Drosophila melanogaster: one gene and its partner. Changing the gene in region 1 together with any one later gene gives a genetic interaction. Each region holds a gene or a part of one and is shown on either strand. Other genes may lie near its edges.

Evidence for each region.
Region 2: of fs(1)K10 (region 1) and grk, changing one suppresses a phenotype caused by changing the other (phenotypic suppression), as found in Drosophila melanogaster (one study listed by BioGRID).

What each region holds. Positions count from the first base shown.
Region 1 is NC_004354.4:2,240,250-2,246,593, forward strand, and holds fs(1)K10 (female sterile (1) K10), read left to right. Parts: upstream 1-1,888; 5' UTR 1,889-2,059; coding exon 2,060-3,355; intron 3,356-4,207; coding exon 4,208-4,303; 3' UTR 4,304-5,792; downstream 5,793-6,344. Other genes in the region: kz (kurz), read right to left, coding at 1-1,257, 1,319-1,510, 1,579-1,653; Or2a (odorant receptor 2a), read left to right, coding at 5,982-6,344. UniProt on the Drosophila melanogaster protein: May be involved in localization of sqd to the oocyte during oogenesis.
Region 2 is NT_033779.5:8,430,436-8,435,584, reverse strand, and holds grk (gurken), read left to right. Parts: upstream 1-1,986; 5' UTR 1,987-2,170; intron 2,171-2,312; 5' UTR 2,313-2,502; coding exon 2,503-2,572; intron 2,573-3,090; coding exon 3,091-3,708; intron 3,709-3,843; coding exon 3,844-4,043; 3' UTR 4,044-4,499; downstream 4,500-5,149. Other genes in the region: D12, read left to right, coding at 1-1,376. UniProt on the Drosophila melanogaster protein: Critical for defining the anterior-posterior and dorsal-ventral axes of the egg. May signal directly to dorsal follicle cells through the receptor torpedo (top).

The DNA of each region.
Region 1 (6,344 bases):
ATCCTTGGTTGGCGCATGATGATACGGAAACGTACGTCGCAGCTTGCGCACCAGTTGGTTGACCTCCTGCTGTCCCGTCACAAAAATTAGTATGCCGCCTTCCGGAAGCTTATTATGGATTTTTAAGGTCTTGCGGTAAGCCTCCGCCACATAGTCATCAGGTGTGCGCTTCTGGAAGTGAATAGTCACCGGAAATTGTCGAGCCTCCACTTTAAGCAACGGTGGCGGAATCTTAAACAAGCGAGTATTCTCTGTAAAATCGGATACCCGCAAAGTGGCAGACATAATGATCAGCTTCAGCGGCTGCCCGCGTTTGTGACGCAAGGGCACGATCCTTGACAGGAGACCCACTAGGATGTCTGTGTAAACACTGCGCTCGTGCGCCTCGTCCAGGATGATCACTGAGTACTTACTAAGCAGAAAGTCAGTTTCGATCTCCTTAAGCAACACACCATCTGTCATGAATTTAATGCGCGTCGCTGGTGTTACGTTTCCCTCGAAGCGAATGAGGTATGACACCTCGCTCTCCGGCAGGTTCATCTCGTGGGCCACCCGCTTGGACATGGCAATAGCAGCCACTCGCCGCGGCTCCGTCACTCCAATCATCTTGTGCTGGGCATACCCCGCTTCGTACAGGAACTGCGGTAGCTGGGTAGTCTTTCCAGAGCCAGTCTCACCAGCCACGATCACAATGGGGTTTTCGTTGATTGTCTCCATCACCTGCTGCTCCTCCGCGAGGATAGGCAGTCGAAGACGGGCATTCTGAACTTCTGTTGTCCGATGTACGGGCACATAGACAGTCTGGTGGATACAGGCAGGTGGGTTAGGCTCTGGCTTCAACTTTTTAATGGGTGGTTTAACAGCGATTTGCGGTGGAGCTATAGACACTGGAGTGGGTATGGCAATAGGAGCGGATTGAGCTGGTGCCTCCTCATCGTCCTCATCAGAGGATGAAGAATCTTCGTCATCTTCCTCCACGCTAATTACATTCGGATTCTTTCGCTTGGCCTGTAGTTCCTCCTCCTCTTCGACGAGAAGCTTGCGCTTGGAGCCCTTTATAGCATTTACGCGGAGACCCGACGCCGAGCTTTTTTCAGCTAAAACTTGGGCCTGTCTTTCCTTTTTCTTGGCTAGATACTCGTCAAGGGTGGGTAGACGCTTTAATCCCACGGTTTGCACTTGGCTAATGGAAGTATACTGCTGCAGCTCCTCCTCCGGAATTTGAACGGCAGCAAGGTCACCCAACAGCTGAGCGCGCTAAATTAGAAAAGATTTCAATTAAATATCAGTTTTATATTAGCACTGAATAAAAACCTACACCCTCTTTCTTTTTCTTCTTGTCCACAATAGCCTGGAGGTGCTTGCGCTGCTTCTTGGAAAGGATCTTCACGTGTTGCACTTTGTCCACCTTAATCTTGGTGGCCCGCTTCTCGGAGGGCAGAACCAGAGCGTTGGCCTCATCGTAGCCAACCTGGTTGCCGCCGGCCACAGCATCCACATCGATCTGAATCTGTAGAGTATTGGATTTGGAAAGGGTAAGAAAGCGGATTCGAGTGTGTGGTCCGACGGATGACCTACCTTCTTCACGGCCGAGTTGTCCACAATTGTTTGTGGATTCTGCCGCGCCTTGGCATTGTGCACCTTCTTGCCCATGATTACTTTACTTTACCAATATAGTTAATAAAATAAAGTAACAGAATTAACTTTGGGCAATAATATAAACATTGATTTAAATCACACGTGCGAAGTACGCTTATCGATAACAGCGCAGGCGATAACAAAAGTTGAGATACTCTAAAATGTGCTGTGATGTTACATTTGTGTTAGTGGAAACATACATTAGTGGGAAAAACTGATTGTTATAGTTGTTCACACTCCTTCGACAGCACTGGTATCGAAACGTTATCGCAATCGATTCATCGTAATATTTTCAATATAAGTTTTTGTGACAAATAGGCGTGCAACATTTTAGATCCATCTGCTCCCCGCCTGTCGTTTCGGCTTGGCTCCTCTGCTCGAGTCCTGAACCCCCGTTTTCAGTGAAATCCAGCTACCTGCAATGGTGTCCAAGAACCAATTCTATCAGAACTGGACCATGCAGTCGCAGCAGCAGCACCCGCACCAAATGCAGCAACAGTTTCAGCAACAGCAGCAGCCAAATCTGCAGCACCGCAACAACCAGAGCAACAATAATAATTGCAACAATAATCCCCGCGCAGCTGCGGCTCCGTATAGAAAACCGTTTCGTTCGGGCAAAATTAACTCCGGACCAGGAGGAAATGGGAATGGTAACAGGGTCAACGGTAACAATCAGATGATGTTTTCCTCCAGCCAAATGCCGAGCGATCCCCTGTACATTGACTTCAGCAGCCCGCCACCAGGATTCAAACACAATCAGGTAGGCAGTCCCAAGAAGAAGTCTATGAAGGGCATCAAACAGCAGCAGCATCCCAGTCCGAACCAGCAGCAGCCTCCCAGTCCGAACCAGCAGCAGCATCCCAGTCCGAACCAGCAGCAGCATCCCAGTCCGAACCAGCAGCAGCATCCCAATTCGAACCAGCAGCAGCATCTCAGTCCGAACCAGCAGCAGGGCAAGATGAACAACCAGAACAACAATCATATGAACCAGTCGCAGCAGCCCTTCAACAATCAGATGAACGGAAGCGATTGGCAGCGCCATCCGGGCAACAATCCCAATCAGATTCGCGGTGGCTTTAATGGATTCCAACGCGGGCCGCCTCCGAACCGTCCTCCTCCACGCCTCATGATGGGTCCGCCAATGGGTCCGATGGGCCCCGGACCACGGGGACCCGGACCGATGGGCCCTGGAGGACCTTACCCGCAAATGCCTTTCCCGCCACCGGTGCCTGGTATGCGCGGTCCCGGACCCATGGGCCCCATGGGTGGACCACCACCGCCGCCGCCACCGCTCTTTATGCGTCGCAACGGACCCGGTCCAGGTCCTATGATGGGTGTCCCACCGCCCATGCACATGATGGGTCCACGGATGCCGCCGCGGGGAATTCCACCGGTCGGACCTTATGGACCAATGAACATGAATGGCGGCCGGATAATGAAGCCCAATCCCAAGCTAATCAAGCAGGTGGTGAAAGGCAAGAGCAGCATAAAGACACTAAAGAACCTGATCAATCAGTATCCCATCGAAAAGCCCTGGGTAACGGACGAGATACGCAGCGAGCACGACAAGAAGGTGGACATCGAGAACAGATTGAAGGGCCACAAAGACGACGAGCTCTTCGCTCAGTACAAGGGCCAGCGGGACAAGTTCGTTAGTCTCTACGAAGCGGCGCGGGAAGAGTATCTCAAGCAGGAGGCAGCCACTGTCAAGGCCAAGGTGAGCATATAGAGACCCCCCAACATATCCTTATTCCCTTGGAACAGGTGTCCCATCCGAAGCTCTATTCAGGGAGGCACACCGATTCCGGGTACAGTTTCGGCTTAATCCGGAATCACTTTGCACCCCTGATTTGATCCGTAACCCCCACCCGTCCCTCTTTGTTGCGTTTGCCGGGCGGTAGGAAAAAAATAAGAGAGCAGAGAAAGTGAAAAAGTAAGTCTCAACCTGATGCACTCTCTCGCATTATCCTGCAGTCCTGCGGAAGGTTGTTGTCATATCTATTTTCACCTTCGGTTGTTCCCTTGGCACTGATATATATCCGCAAAAGAGAAACTATTGGCATATATTTACAACCATAGATTTATTAGGAACTGAACAAAATTGTGTAACTATTTAGAACTGCAATACAATGTGTTTACTGCCACCTTGTATACAAATTTAAAAAACTAATAGAATTTTGTACTGTTCGATCGTGGCAGGCGTAGTAGATTCATAAATGCACTCTTAGTAACTTAATATTCTTAATTGAACGAGCCTCAGTACTGAATCCTATGGCTGTTTTCATTTTCCAATTTGGTTGGCATGTGAAAAGCGAACTTAATGAATTTTAAACTGCCAGAACATCAATTTAGTTACTTAATTAGCAGATATAACCCAACTTATGAAACTCATTGCATATGAAATGATAATGATTTGAGTGATTAATGTTCGTGGGCGTAGTTATCTGGAAATAGCCAAGAGAAGTTCGCAGAATGCATTTAATAGCGAAAACAGATCTGAGAGCTCTTTTTACACACTCAACAACCTTGCTATTGAACACCGTTGGCAATTCTCGTATTTCTTTTGCAGGATGCCAAGTCAGACAAAGACAAAAACGCAATTTCAAGTCAGAGCGCAGCCCCTAAGGCCGGAAGCGCTAAAGATGCAACAATTCCAAATCCCTAGGCAGCCAATGCAACCGAATCCGAATACCGAATCAATCGAATCGAACCGACTAAAGAAGAGGTCGGTCGACTCACAGAACTAAATGTAAACTTAAACTTTAAACCAATGAGCAATTCAAAACTAAAACTAACAGCGAGCAACAGCAAGAGTCTGACAATTGAAGACGAATATAACTCAAAACCCCGACTCCTATATCGGATATACGTATACACAATCGTAATCCGAGGAGGCGCCGCCTTTGTCACACGTTGCTTTTGCGACTGAGAACTGAGCTTAGAACGATAATGTAGCAACAAATACAAACCCAGCGATAATAATGTGGGCGAAACTCTAGTAATAGCGATAAAAATTTAGATTGCGAATCGATTCACTTGTCTAACGTAACCTAGCGTAACGTAAAGTAGAGTATTGAAATGTAACCGTAACGTAACGTAACGTACCAGTTTCCTATTCGAAAACTATTTGTTGTTCAATTCTAAGTTGCAGCCATTTCAAGTATGTGTACACAATTTATGACACGCCCTTACCTATATATGTATGCATATATATTGATATATATATATATATAAATTATTTTCCTATTCGTTGCCCGAGTGCGTGGGCGCGACATAATTGAAACAGAGTGGCCGGATCCTAAGCACTCTGGCATAAATCACACTGTAGGCCTTAGATTACACCACTTGATTGTATTTTTAAATTAATTCTTAAAAACTACAAATTAAGATCACTCTGTGAACGTGTGCTCGATGGTGTGCATCTACGGATTTGTTTTTGTGTTCTTTTTCCCCACCCAACCCCGTCCCTGACCCAATTCCGCTGTTCTCTTTACCGACTTGTAGATTAATCACGCTCTTGATCTTCATGACCGGATCCACCTGACAAGTAACGCCAAAGCAGCCCCACTTAGCGGAATAGTAGAGCCTAGGGGACCCAACGTAAAAACTCTAGTATAGCACCAATCTCCCAACCAGTTAACATTATACCTAAACCCATGGTCAAGAGTAAACATTTCTGCCTTTGAAGTTGAGAACACAATTAAGCATCCCCTGGTTAAACCTGACATTCATACTTGTTAATAGCGCCATAAACATAGCACCAATTTCGAAGAAATCAGTTAAAAGCAATTAGCAATTAGCAATTAGCAATAACTCTGCTGACTTCAAAACGAGAAGAGTTACAAGTATTTGTAAGGCACAGTTTATAGACCACCGACGGCTCGTTAGGGCTCGTCATGTAACTAAGCGCGGTGAAACCCAATTGAACATATAGTGGAATTATTATTATCAATGGGGAATATTTAACCCTCAGGTAGCAAAGTAATTTAATTGCAAATAGAGAGTCCTAAGACTAAATAATATATTTAAAAATCTGGCCCTTTGACCTTGCTTGTCAGGTGCATTTGGGTTCAATCGTAAGTTGCTTCTATATAAACACTTTCCCCATCCCCGCAATAATGAAGAATACCGCAGAATAAAGAGAGATTTGCAACAAAAAATAAAGGCATTGCGAAAACTTTTTATGGGGGATCATTACACTCGGGCCTACGGTTACAATTCCCAGCCACTTAAGCGACAAGTTTGGCCAACAATCCATCTAATAGCTAATAGCGCAATCACTGGTAATCGCAAGAGTATATAGGCAATAGAACCCATGGATTTGCCCAAAGGTAACCGAGACAATGGAGAAGCAAGAGGATTTCAAACTGAACACCCACAGTGCTGTGTACTACCACTGGCGCGTTTGGGAGCTCACTGGCCTGATGCGTCCTCCGGGCGTTTCAAGCCTGCTTTACGTGGTATACTCCATTACGGTCAACTTGGTGGTCACCGTGCTGTTTCCCTTGAGCTTGCTGGCCAGGCTGCTGTTCACCACCAACATGGCCGGATTGTGCGAGAACCTGACCATAACTATTACCGATATTGTGGCCAATTTGAAGTTTGCGAATGTGTACATGGTGAGGAAGCAGCTCCATGAGATTCGCTCTCTCCTAAGGCTCATGGACGCTAGAGCCCGGCTGGTGGGCGATCCCGAGGAGATTTCT
Region 2 (5,149 bases), on another chromosome or scaffold:
AGGAATCCTTGCCAGAAAGGCAGCGGCAGGAGTTTTCGCCAGTAAAGCACTATCCACCGGCATCTCCGCAGAGAGCGTGGAAGGAATCCTCGTCGGATCGGCCACCAATAAAGCCTGTGCCCAATGGCCATCACCAGGGCAAGAAGAATGTTGTGTTTCAGAGAGCAGGAAAGCTGTACATTATCGATCCCTTGCAGCGCAAGCTTAAGCAGGCTGCAAAGCAACAATCCCTGCTGAAACCACAATTGAGTCTTCTTAAGCCACCGTCAGAAACGCGATGGCATATGCTGCAGTGCATGCAGCACGATCATGGGTACGCCAACATGAGCGGCGAGATGGAGGAAAAGCCAATGCTGTTACCTCCAATTGTGGACACTACCATACAATCGCGACCCCGAAGGCTGGAGCACATCTTTAGAAGTGCACAATTCCGAAATATGCGCAGTGCTGTGGAGTTCCTGCTGAGCCGCCTCCCGCTTGCGTCGATTGATCAGCAAAAGGAGTATCCATTCACTTGTATAACCCTCGAAGAGTTCCACAATCACACTGCTCTAAAACAACGTTGCTTTGAGTACCTGCGCGCACGTATGCTCCGTCGCTGTCTGATGCAGCACCACGAGCTGCATAAGTTGGACATTAGTGGAAAGGAACACTACTGGAGTTTACGGGAGATAGTGGCGTTCGCCAGGGTTCATGGTTATACGCCAGCTCTCAAAGATGTTTTACCTGTCGTGCATGAAAAGAGAAAACAAAAACTGAGCGATGAGGAGCAACTGGCTCGGCGTGTTCAGGCGCAACTAAAGGGCGAGCCCCAACCGCAACTGTCGGCCTATAGCAGTCTCAGCTCAGGCAATCGGCTGGAAGCTTGGATAACCAAGCAATCCGATCGTCTGCTTGGTCATGATCAACAGATGCGGGATAAGGAGTTCATCGATGTGTTGGGTGTGGACAAACCTCATCCGCTTGCGTCCAGGTTAACAAACTCAGCAGATGTATCTTTCCAAATGGTGAATCATCGCCAACTACTTTATCTACCTCCGCCGAAGCACTTGGATTCGACCTTGCAGCTGGTCCAGGAAATGTGCAAGGACATTAATATCACACTGGAACCGGAGGAATCTCCGCCTGGCGTCTCCCAGCCACTGGCTCTCTCGATGCTCGGACAAGTGCTGCGCACTTTTATTGAGAAATTGGTGCGCCGCTCCTTGGCGGCGAAACTGCAACAGGAGACTTTGGAACAGTTGCCACCGGCGGCGGCCAATGCTCCGTTGTGTCTCCAACCTCAGGACATAGGCCGTGTCATCAGTCTGTGTTCCGAATTGGATTTCCTCGGAAACAGTCACTTGGGAGTTGCTCCGATAGAACCACAAATCTAATGTGCAGTTGCCATTGTTTTGAATTTATTTTTTATCAAGTCCGCGTCATAGTTCAAATTCTACTGGGATATTAGTTGATATCTAATTAGAGCCTTGTACTCGTTGGTAAGCATAAATCTAAGCAATAAATTAACTAAATTAATGTCCGAAGAAATGAATACTGCGTTTTTAATTATCAACGATTATCATATTTTGGACGAAATCATGAGATGAGTGGTCATTAATTTTTAAATTTTGAATATCTGGCTGAAGACTTTTAAATTGTTTTATCAATATAAATAATAATCGCTACAATTGCATATTTGTACGAAACATGTAAACATTTTTAAGTCTTATCAGCTATCTTCACAGAGTAATATATCTTTATAGTGCCCTAGAAGTATGCAGTGAAAAGTGCCGTTAACAAATTGAATAACTGTTAAAGGGCGGTTTTTTTTTGCAGCTCTTAGCATATCCATATGATTCTTCGACTATTATCGGTCGCAATCGCATCTCTTTTGGGGGCGCTCTCTTCGCTCTCCCCGCTCACCGATCGATTTCATTCATGGCGCATGCCAATGCCGCCAATGTAGGGATGAGGTCCATCTGTTTCTCTGGCTCTGTTTTCCTCAGTCTCTTTTCCGACGTGCGCGCAACAAGACCTAAAATCAAAGTGGAGCAGAGAAGAGCCCGCTTCCCGCGCTTGCTGCTCTTTAGATTAACTAATTAATTACTTGCCTGATATATAAAATGATTCACGAGTCATTATAATAATTATAATGTCGAAGCCTTCTACAGGCCATATAGCAGCTCCAGTACGTCTAAGATAATCTATGAAAAGCTTTTGGATCACCAATTTTGAATGCTATTTCTTTTCCTTTTTTTTTTGTTTCGTGTGTGTGCGTTCGTGCGACAGAAAATGTGGAGGCGCTAAAATGTTCTATTTTTATTTTGCAGTAAAATCCACAAGGAGATGCAAGTGTGTAGTATGTTTCAGCTTCTGTTGCGACGCCAAATTGCATTTGCGGCCAGCACGCCGCTCGATCCCTCGATCGTTTAGACCCCTTCATTGACTCAGTTTTCCTAGTGGTGGACAATCGGTCCACCCAATCAATATTTTTCGGAGCGCCACCCCAAGCGTTTTCCAATGATGCAAATCCCATTTACTCGGATTTTCAAAGTAATTTTCGTGCTCTCAACAATTGTCGCCGTCACAGGTACGTACATAATCTCCACCTGATTTTTAGATTCCAATATTACGGCCAGTATTGCCAGGCTCTCCCACAAAAAAAGCTATTTCTAGCGTCGAAAAAACTGGAAAACAGCTACAACAAATCATAAAATATTTGCAGTGCTGATTATATACTTGTTATGCTAAAAAACTAAAACTTCCTTGAAAACTGTGTAAAATCCTGTATTAGCTTTCTGTTCGTGGATGATGAATGAAGTAAACTTCAGATAATATACATATTTGTGAATTATTTCTAAAGATTTTTTTGAGTTTCATTTAAATACTGTCCTTATGAACAAACTTTGCATTCTTAAAAATTAAAAAAATTAGTAATAATAATACCATAGGGAGACATTTTTATGATAATTTCAAAAGTTGCCGCACTAAAAACTGAAAGCTTTTTGTACTTCAACTTGAGCTTTACAACGTTATCTATTCTGTATCTTTGCGATCACTGGAAATGTCCTGTTTTCTTAATCGCACACCTTCTTCTGTATTCTGCAGATTGTTGTTCGAGCCGAATCTTACTTCTCCGAGAGCATACGCTGAAAATTGTGCAGCATCAGCACAGCCACATGCACGAGCATGCGCACGAGCTGCAGCAGCAGATCCAGGAGACCGCGGTTGAGTTGCTCAATCGCCTGGAGCTGCAGCGCAAGCAACTGGAGGCCTCGGCCCAGGAGGAGGCAGACCAGCTGCATCCCGATACGGATCCCAATCCGGACTCGGGCGGCCAACTGCCAAACGCAGACGACTCCATTGCTGCGGATCCGGAACAGGATGGGATAATTCTCGGATCCAGTACCGACACCTGGTTGGCCAGCGAAAGCAGCACACCAATCACTGATTCCGAGACAGTGACAACACCCGAAACTGTTACCCACACCGGAGAACCGCCACCTGACCCCAGTTCGTCCAGCACGCCTGACTCCACGACTCCCAGCCCGAACGACAAGGAGACAGAGATTCAGATGCTGCCCTGCAGCGAAGCTTACAATACTAGCTTTTGCCTGAACGGCGGCCACTGCTTCCAGCATCCGATGGTGAACAACACAGTCTTCCATTCCTGCCTCTGCGTTAACGACTACGATGGAGAGCGGTGCGCCTACAAGAGCTGGAATGGTAGGTACTCTACTCTAGCATAGCCATCCATTCACAGAAGTCTCTTCCTGTGTTGTATGGAACGGATGGAACTAACGATATCTATTAGTCTGTACCCAGTACATGGTAACTAAATGAACTCATTGATCATTGCAGGTGACTACATCTATTCGCCTCCAACAGCGCAGCGGAAGGTCCGAATGGCGCACATCGTCTTCTCCTTTCCCGTACTCCTCATGCTGTCGTCGCTCTACGTTCTCTTCGCAGCCGTTTTCATGCTCCGCAATGTGCCGGATTATCGCCGGAAGCAGCAGCAACTACACCTGCATAAGCAGCGCTTTTTTGTCAGATGCTGAGATTTAGAATTTGATTTGGAAACAATTTGGTTTCACCTATATAAGCCTCCTCTTTGTTGGATGGCAAATTCTTGTTGACCATATTTCTTTACGTTGCGCAGCGTAAAATTAACGCTTTAATTTATTGAATACATTTAGTGTACTTAGTAGGATTTTCTATTTAGTTGCAAAAGACGCACAAGTTAGTATTTGCTTTTCTTTATCATTTCTTAGTTTCGTTTGTTTCGCTTTTGAAGCTTTCGTTGGAGCTTTTGTAGTTTGTTTGTAGTAACATTTTGTTACGTTAAATTAACCATTACGAAATATAATGTAATCTTAGCGCTTACTCCAGTTACCAGGACAAGTGATTATTTTCGTAACACTCTGTTACATTGTGTATATTGTAAAGAAAAACTATTTTGGTAGTGTATTAAAGAAGAGGATTGGGACTCGACTCGAAACAGAATTAAAACATTCAAAACATTGTTTCCTTTCTGCGGTTCATCGTATCTCGTATCTCGTTTCTATCTCTCTCGTTTTTTTTTTTCAGCCGGCGGATATGAGTGAAGCACGCTTTTGGGTTTTATATTTTATAATATATATTTTATCCAATATTTCGTCCAAAAATTCTTTACAAATTTCTTCGAACTTACAGTTAAATGTATAGTAGAAATTATTCAAAAAATTCTCCTCACTTTCATCATTTCATCGTATATGATTTGTTGATTCTTTCGCTATCAAGATCATCAATATGAGAATGGTATGTATGCGCTTGTGTGGTGGATGGTGTGTGCTTGATGGGTGATGGATGTGTTTTTGGGGACTTAACCCGATCTGGAATTGAGAGGCATCAATAAAAAAAACTATTGATTCCTGCGCGTGGGTGGTGTTTGAGTGGGGCGTGGTGATTGGTTGCAGTGGTTGCATTGGTGGCGTGGATGGTGGTGTCGCGTGTAACTCGGACTTTTGCTTGCGTATATCTTGGATTAGGGATATGAAGTTCGTACAAAAATTATTTAAAATATGTAAATGTTTAAAAATGTATTTTTGCTTGTTTTTTGTTTTGTTTTGTTTTTATCTCGTTTATCTTGTAATTGTTTGTTGTTTTACGTTGCGTTCTTTTGTTG